Caenorhabditis elegans: one gene and its partner. The protein of the gene in region 2 interacts with the protein of the main gene of each other region in a pairwise test. Each region holds a gene or a part of one and is shown on either strand. Other genes may lie near its edges. The genes, in order: gakh-1 and rps-24.

Evidence for each region.
Region 1: the proteins of rps-24 (region 2) and gakh-1 interact in a two-hybrid assay, tested with the Caenorhabditis elegans proteins (one large-scale study listed by BioGRID).

Annotation. Positions count from the first base shown.
Region 1 is NC_003284.9:5,781,341-5,787,205, reverse strand, and holds gakh-1 (Protein kinase domain-containing protein), read right to left. Parts: upstream 3,802-5,865; coding exon 3,660-3,801; intron 3,612-3,659; coding exon 3,384-3,611; intron 3,054-3,383; coding exon 2,898-3,053; intron 2,856-2,897; coding exon 2,761-2,855; intron 2,715-2,760; coding exon 2,486-2,714; intron 2,425-2,485; coding exon 2,059-2,424; intron 2,010-2,058; coding exon 1,758-2,009; intron 1,453-1,757; coding exon 1,348-1,452; intron 1,196-1,347; coding exon 1,056-1,195; 3' UTR 751-1,055; downstream 1-750. Other genes in the region: F46G11.6 (ZP domain-containing protein), read right to left, coding at 1-134, 190-362, 510-678.
Region 2 is NC_003282.8:384,054-387,122, reverse strand, and holds rps-24 (Small ribosomal subunit protein eS24), read right to left. Parts: upstream 1,230-3,069; 5' UTR 1,215-1,229; coding exon 1,146-1,214; intron 1,030-1,145; coding exon 820-1,029; intron 691-819; coding exon 574-690; 3' UTR 517-573; downstream 1-516. Other genes in the region: T07A9.14 (Small ribosomal subunit protein eS24), read right to left, coding at 203-424.

The DNA of each region.
Region 1 (5,865 bases), on a different chromosome or scaffold from region 2:
CATTTTCTGCGAGTACACTGCCCATGTTCAATTGGAACCACAGTTGTTACACAGAACAAGACAACGGCGGCAGACGACGCACGGAACCGAATTGGGAAGGGATTGAAGATTCCCGCCTCAAAGTGGTTTGGATACTGAAAATAGACATTTTGTAGATATTGTTCTCCAAATTTCCTAAATTCTTGATACCTGAACATTTTTGAACAGTGACTCTTCAAGGCTACATCCCATATCATCAATAATAGGGTATGGCTGGAAACCTGGCTCATCCGAGCTCAATGTGCAATTTACAACTTGGAGGCAATTTCCAGTTATTGGCTTACACTTTATTTTATAGTAAATCTCGTCGTCAAGAGATGCTCCTGAAATTTTTGAACTTTTTGAAACAATAACAGAGGCTGTTTGACAGACATTGTATATGTTTGTAGTTTTTTACAAACTTCTTTTTTTTTTAAATTCAAATTTGTTATTTTCTGAAACTTTTTTCAAACACCAGAACTAAAGCATACCTGAAACAACTTGTCCATAAGGTCCCTTTTTGTGAATCGAAAAGTCGCACGTTATACTATTATCAACAGTTTTCGACAACAAGTTCGGTTTTTGTTTTGACTTATAGATGGATAGCGTGGGCGCTAGAACGCTAAGAAAAAGTATGAATACGAGAAGTTGGTTGGACATTTGTATGCTGGATCGATTCATTCCATTCTGGAGATACCCCGATACAAGTAGGTCATTGCGTTCGGAACAATGTGTTCTTCTTGATTTATTACTTTTCGTAGACGATAAAACATTTGAATTTTTTGATGTACAAGTTAAGAAGTAAGCATAATTTAGGATACATTTTATTTACAGAGAAACAAAAAAATGAAGGAATGAGGATGGATTTTTTTCTGAAAGATTTATAAAATGAGTATTGAAGAGAAGAAGATACTCGTTATAAGTACATTTCCATCTTTCAATTATTGGCAAAATTCGTACAAAACATTCACAGGACGGGAAAGAAAGTGAAAATATGATAAATAACTATAATTTTTGAACTACTTTACTATTTTAATCTATTTCTTGGTTGACATTTTCATCATATCGCTGACCATATCATCCAGGCTGGCAGAAGAGGATGACGAACCAATTCCGTTTTTTGAAACATCGACTTTGGTCAAGTTCTTGTTCTCCACTTGGCGTATTGGTTGTAAAACTGAAAAAGGAAAAAGGAAATGAGATTTGAAAAGAGGATATCATTTGGTTTGGGCTGATTCCTTTGATGAATCATTTAGTGATTCATGAAGAGGAGGTTGTAACAAAATGAATACATAGCAAATGATAACTGCGTAGAGGAACAAACCGTACCAGCTTGAGAAGATTCGGCGGAAGGTGTCGTGTGTCGGAGCATCAGGTCGTCAAAGTCAAACAAGTCTCGTGAAGATTGGGATCGTACCTCTGGTTTGTGCTCAGCTGAAGACAAATTATTTTTAACATAGGGAAATATATTGGAAATTATTCGTAGCTGCTCAAAAACATATAATGTTGTCAGACACTTGCAAAATTTTCACAGAAAAGCTTTCAATATATTCAGAATGTTTGGGAGAAAGTTTCCAAGTTTTGACAGGAAGTAGCCTTATTGCCTTCATCTAAGCACCGTACAAATCATCAAAAATTTTAATCTGGTTTGAAGGTCCCCTTTTAAATGACATAGGATTCGTTTGGAATTCAATTGCTGTTCAATTGCTTTCCGCAGTTTTCAGTGTCCTAAATCTTACCAGTTCCTGGCCAATTCTGTAAGGATAACAGATCTTCGCTATGTTTTGCAGACAAATTGTGTGATGCTGACTCGCTAAACGGATCGAATACGTCTTTTTTCGAAACATTCACCGCTGGCGGTGCTTGACTAAAGTCTCCCCAATCGTTTGCAGAATCATTCTGAGAACTATCAGTCGGCCATGAAACTTTGAATGTTGCAACTGGGGCTGCACGAGGGCTTGCTGTTGTGGGTGGTCTCGGTGGTGCGTTTTCTGAAAATATACTGGCATTAGAGAAGTTTCAATCAATTCATTCACTCACTCTCTTGCTGTTGATTTGATCTATGTGTTTTTGGCACAAGCTTCGGAGATGTTGAAGGGTGCCCGGGGCGTGGTGTAGTATTTGTTGGCTCCATTCCCCATCCCATTTTATTCGTCTGCTGTACAACTGTATTTTTGAGTGATGTCAAATTGGAAAATAGTTTGTCCTGCATTGTAAAGAATCCTTTTGCAGCTTGCGATTCGATACTTTGCTCCGCTTGTACCGGTTGAACATTCATCAGATCGAGTATATCCGTGAAATCAGTTTTTGCAGCTAGTTTTGGTTGTTTCTGCATTGCTAGTTTCATGTATTCCTCAATTTTTGCAGCAGTAATTCGTTCATCCGGATTGGGTGTCAGACACTTTGCTGTAAGTTGGGTTTATATTTCTTTATTTATTATTTTTACGCCCAGCAGAAAACTCCTTACCAATTAAATCTGCAAACGCTGATAACTGGTTTTGCTGAACCGGTGGTGGCTTCTTGTACTTTCCGTTGATAATTGCCAGCGCTGATCCATCAAATGGATGCTCTCCAAACGCAACAAAATAGATCAAACACCCCATTGCCCAGTTGTCTTGTTGTTTTCCGATAGGCCAATTTGAGTAGACATCACAAACTTCTGGGGATCGGGTGATAGGTGTTGTGTATTTGAACATCTGAAAATTAGATTTCAATTTCATTTAAAATTTATTTCGGAATGACCTCTTCCTGAACCGCTAATCTTTCGGAATTTGATAGTGGTGCCATCTCGATGGACTTTGTTGTAGCACTTCCAAAATCGCATAGTTTTAGTTTTCCTGAAAAATAGTTTTAGCTAAAATCAGCAACGAAAGACCAACCATTTCCGTTTATAAGCAAATTTTCTGCTTTGATATCTCGGTGGATGGCGCCGACGGAATGCAAATATACTAGGGCTCTTGTTGTAAAGTAGATTATGCGAACGACAAAGTCAATTGAGACTTCTTTGTACTTGAGAAGCACATCCGCAATTGAAACTGAAATAAAATTTAGTTATATACATTAAATTGTATGTACATTAAAGGTGGAGTACCATAATCGGAGACTTTGCTTTTTTAGACCCAAAATGGCCCAAAACTATCCAGTTTTGTAATGAGACATTCTGAAAATTGAAAAAAAACTGACTGAAAAACATCTCAATCAACGAATCAACAAGTAATAAATTAGTAATAACAAATTACACAAAATTCGGTAGGTTTGGGCCATTTTGCGTCTTTTTTCAGACAAAATCGCCGATTTCTTTCGGTACTCCACTTTAACAATATACTTTTTGAGAGTGAGTTTGCAACAAAAAAAATTCAACCCACATTTGCAATATTCCATTGATATTTTGTACTCTTTCACGGACCGATTTGAACTTCTGCTTTCAGCTGACGCATCAAACAGTTGAATAATATTTTCGTGTTGGAGCTTCTTCATCATATCAATTTCATTATCAATATCCTTCGTCGCGGCTGCATCGTGGCTCAGCATGATCTTCACGGCGACTTGTTTTCCCTTGGTGTTGGTCGCAAGAAACACCGTTCCAAAACCGCCTGCAAAACATAAGCTCTCTTCGAAAATTGTCATTTATGGCCACTAACCTTTGGCTATTACCTTTTCCACTCGATAATTGTTTCCGTTAATGCTGAATGTCTGACCACGATCGTAGAGCTCACTCTGCTCACTGATTCCTGCGCCTCGACCGACAGATTGAATCACACCAAGAGCGCGGGCAAATGCCATCTTGGAAATTGCAGATTTATAGTAGAATGAGTGCATTAAAAATAATAAAATGTGATAGTTTTATGAGCGGTGCATCAATATGAAAAAGGAAAAAAATATATGAAAAAGTATAAGACCAGGGATAAAAATGTACAATTTACAATTTAATTCAAAGGTCTCAGGTGGTATCTATAACATAATTTTTTTCAAAATTAAGAATTGGACTTATGAAGAACATTCTTTTCTCAATTTACATATCTTGCTTCTCAAAAATTATTCTAAATTTGCAAATGATGTTTTTACACGTTTCAATCAATAAGAAATACGCTTAAGCCTTCCTATCTTTAAAGCTTCATCTGCATAGAATATAAAGTACACATTTCCATTAGCGCAAGACTAACGGCAAGAAATTCACATTATTTGTCAGGAATAGGATAGATTCCATCTCGCATCTACTGAAATGTACTCTCGTGGTCGAAAAATCCTGAGAGAAGCGGAGTATTTGGGCAGCAGCAGCGAAAGTGGGGTGTCGGTTGGCAACGGAGGATGTGTTGTTGGCAAAATTGAGCTAATTTGCTTGGAGCGAGTTTGAAGAAAGCCAATAATTTAAATGATCATTGATCAAAAATAATTGATGTTAAAAAAAAAGTAGAAACTAACACAATGTTCTTCAATTTTAAATAGAAAAGTTCATATCACATCTATTGCTTTTTTAATCGTTGCGAAAATTTTCAATGTTTTGTTGAACAAGACAATTAAAACTTTCTTTTATAAGAAAACGGGTTAAAGGTTTCATTTAATTTTTACAGCAAACTGAAAATTTTTTGCAATGACAAAAAACGATTTTTTTCAGTGCAAAACTTATTGTTTGTCAGTGCAGCATTTATTGCAAGACTGTGAATGTTAGTGTACTGATTTCTGTTTAAAAATAAATTCACGTTGTAATAAATTAGGAAAATCAATGAAAAAACGCAAATGTTGCATACAATGCGCCCTTTTTTGGTGTGGGGGAACGCACACGAAACGCGCCAAGTGGTGGCTGCTGACGCATTTGCTACCTCACAACATGTAACAACGTGGAACCAGTTGCAGCTCTCGTAAAAACAAACATCTTTTGTGATTTTTCGCTCAACCAGTTTTACCGAAAACTTTATGTAACATTACTTTTATCTTTTTTTGCGTTTTTTCTGTAGTCTTTCGATTATCTTCAACTTCTAATGTATTTTAAATCATAATTCATTCATAAAAATGGTTGAATTCAATGGCACCTACTTGGCAGGTGGTGATACTCGGGAGCGGTGATATACTCTCTTTCTCCTTCCTTTTCGAGAGTGTCATTTCTATTTTCAAACCACAACCACCACATCAGCTCGCGTGCGGCTGCGACGCGGTCTCTCTACATTTCGTGTGCCTCCTCTTCCTCCATTTGCCCCTTTCGGTTCAGTTCCCCTTCTTTTCTCGTCGCTTATGTTTTCGTTTTCATTTGTCCGGAGAAAACCTGTTTAGGAAAGAGTCGTTCACATAAACGCCCGTCACTTATGCCCGTTGACATCCAAACTCTTACTTTTGAACCGCTTTTTTCAACCAGTTTAAGGTTTTTTCCCTAGCTTAGTTTTTACACAACTGTAGCGGAAGTGATAAAGAATAATTTCCATTCTCTATTGTACATTACTCATTTACCCAATGACTTCGCTGTACTATTTCCGCAAGTTCAGTATCAATTCTGTGTATACGATGACGTGACGCGGTGTATTCATTGCCAGTGTATTCAGCGAAAGCTGACGTCTTTTTGTCAAACTTTAAAAACAAAATAGATAACCCAACGTTTGCTCAAAATACACTTAAAACCCAGCTTTAAAACGTGTATCATTAAAGATTTAAAAATTTTCAATTCCGTTCCAAATATCCACCATTCATCGGCGCGGCCATCTGTTGGCCAGTTTGATAAACAAAAAGTCGTGACCGCCTTGTGTGTTGACATTGTGCAGCTTTGACGGTTTTCCTCCTACCTGGAGAGATGTTATGTTTGGCGACGATTGTTCTCATTTTAATTTCCATTTTTCATATGTCATCCGATTTTTTGTG
Region 2 (3,069 bases):
TGGGGTATTCAAGTAGTTCGAGACATCAAAGTGGTGAAAATTCACAAAAATTGTCGTAGCATGAGAACAACTATGATAAAAGAACTGGAAAAATGTCGGAAATATTGAATACATGTTTTTGAAGTTACTTGAATAATGCAGTGTACTCCTTAATTTCACGACACCACTTGAATTGCAGTTCCTCTTCAAAAATGAAACTTACGGAGCTGTGCTCTGGCTGATACTTATTGGCGAAGTCAAACGTGTCGTAAACAAGAGTGAACCCCCTTCGACTTTCCTCCTCCGATCTATGACTCGAATCCAAATGGAATGACAGTGTCTGAAGTGGTCTTATAGAGCTTGGTGATCTCCTTACGGATATCAGCCTTTGGGACAGTTGGACGTCCTGGGCGGATAACCTCGACGACCTGAAGTGAAATAGCATAAACCATTAAAAAAGGAATAAGACAACCGCATGGAAATGAAATATGAGAGGAATACCAACTCAAGTACAACAATAAAAAACGAAAACAATTCTGTAGTAAAATCGTTTACTGAAGTTAACAATAGAAATCAACAAAAAGTTTTGCAGATTTACTTCTTTCCAGCAGAGACCTTGGCCTTGGCGGTTCCTCGGACCTTCTTTTGTCTGTTCTTTCTCTCCTTACGTTGCTTGCGTCCTGGCTTCTCGACCTTGGTGGCAAGTCCCATCTGGAAAAGCACGGATTAACGAATGAAAAGAGAACTCTTCAGAAAGGCTGAACGTAGGAATTTGTCTATCAATTTAGACTAAGAAGTCATCTATCAAAAATTCCGTTCTTATTCAGAAAAGTAACTTACGCGAACGAGTCTGTACTTCGGCTCAAACTTCTTGGCGAAGTCAATCGTGTCGTATACGAGAGCGAACCCCTTCGACTTTCCTCCTCCGATCTTGGATTCGAATCCGAATGGGATAACCGTGTCTGGAGTGGTCTTATAAAGCTTGGCGATCTTTTCACGGATATCAGCCTTCGGGACAGTTGGACGCCCTGGGTGGATCACCTCGACAACCTGAAATGAAAAATAGGTTAACCATTCATGTTAAAACGGTAGTGATATCAAAGCAATTCGCAAATCACCAACTTAAAACAAACATTTTACGAACATTTTCGAAATTAAAAACTAACCATCTGCTTTCTGTAGAGAAGCTTATTGGTGAGAACCTTTCTCGTTCTGATAGTAACGACGTCACCCATCGTGATGAATATTACCTGCAAAATAAATTTGAATTGTAGTTTTAAAATTGTCAACAACGAAAATGGAGCGAATTATTTAATTTTGGCCAGAAAATTGAGAAAAATGCTTTAGAAAGACGACAATACTTGTATTTTTAATTTTGAAAACTGTTATGTTGAAAATTTAAAAGATAAACGTGGTTTGGCGTGAAAATTGAAGATAAATTGAAGAAAATCGTCGAAAAAAAGAGAAAATGAGAGAAAAATAGCACAGGCAATGCTTAAGCGTTGGATACTCATTCGACGTCTCGCCACGAAGTCAACGTACGCAGCGAAATAACTGTGTGCGCCTTTAAGTTTTGTGTAGGTTTACGGGTTAAATTGAGGCCCCACGAAAAGGGGAGCAGAACGAAAAGGGGATCTGCAAAAAGGGGATCTGCGAAAAGGGGAGATACGAAAAGGGGAGCTGGCACTGTGCCAAACGCACAAAACGCTTTTTTATTCTCATTCAACGCACGCATTATTTTTGTATTTTACGCTAAACAACGCGCGATGCGTAATAACAGAGTGTGGTTATAACAAGGTCGTGCGTTGAATGAGAATAAAAAAGCGTTTTGTGCGTTTGGCCCAGCTCCCCTTTTCGTTGCTCCCCTTTTCGTATCTCCCCTATTAGTATCTCCCCTTTTCGCAGATCCCTTTTTTGCAGATCCCCTTTTCGTTCTGCTCCCCTTTTCGTGGGGCCTCGTTAAATTATGCATTTAATGCTTTAAAACTTTTTTTTTGTTTATTTACAAACATTGAAAAATCTCATTTTTATTTTGATTTACACTATAAATTTTTTTCCTCATACCTCATCATTTTTAATTTTTAAGCTTTTGAAAATGTCAACGGCATTCTCGTTGTTCTGATTAATTGTATTTATTTTACAGGAAATGCGCATTCCGCCAGAAGTTTCTAAGAAAATTTGGCTGGAGCACCTGATTGTCCGAATAAATGGAATCGATATCACGTTCGCCTCGAATTTTTCTATTGTCATTGGGTCGATGGAACTCCGGAATATCGGTTTGTATTGAATTTTAGAGAAAAATTATTTTAAAATAGCTATTTTTTGTAGTTTGCCCGAGAGATATGTACAGAATAAGAACAGAATCCTTGCAAAGTTTCTACTTCACGAAAACTGAGTTGAAGTCTATGATGAGGGACTTGCGAAGTATTACTTCTGGAATAAAACAACAGATGAGGTGAGTAGCAGAATAATTTCCAGATTTAAAAAAAAATTTTTTCAGGTTTGTTGGTATTCTCCGCGTCATCCACGAGCTATAATTAGTGATCCAGCTCCTCGAATCGCCAGAGAGCATGCTACAGTGCTTTTCGGAGATTCTCACGCATCTGAGGTAGAATTAGATGCTGAAATCGTACTTAAAGGCACACAGATTTATCAGATTTACTCGGATGGGTCTAACCGCCGGAAAAGTTGTTCCCATCCAAAAGGATCCGAGCGCCTTTAAATACTCATTTCGGAACATTTATTCTTTAAAACTATATATTTTTTTTCCAGGAGAACAATGCCGCTCGCCGCAGAAATTTCCACAACAAGAAAACTTCACGCGGAGGGAATGATGATAAGCAATCACGTGGCAATAATGCTGAAAAGCGGAAGCGACGTGATCCGATGACGTCACAGGGTCCAGATTCAGATGAAGACGAGTTACAGGAAATGACAAATAAGGATCGACTGAAAAGAGCAAAAAGGAAAGGAATTGATCCAATGGATCCAGGAGCTCATGGAGGCGCTCCAGTGTAAGCTGCGCTCCGTTTCTGAAGCGAAAAAGTTGGAATTTTCGAGAATTGGATTCAAAAATTGAAAATTTTCTAA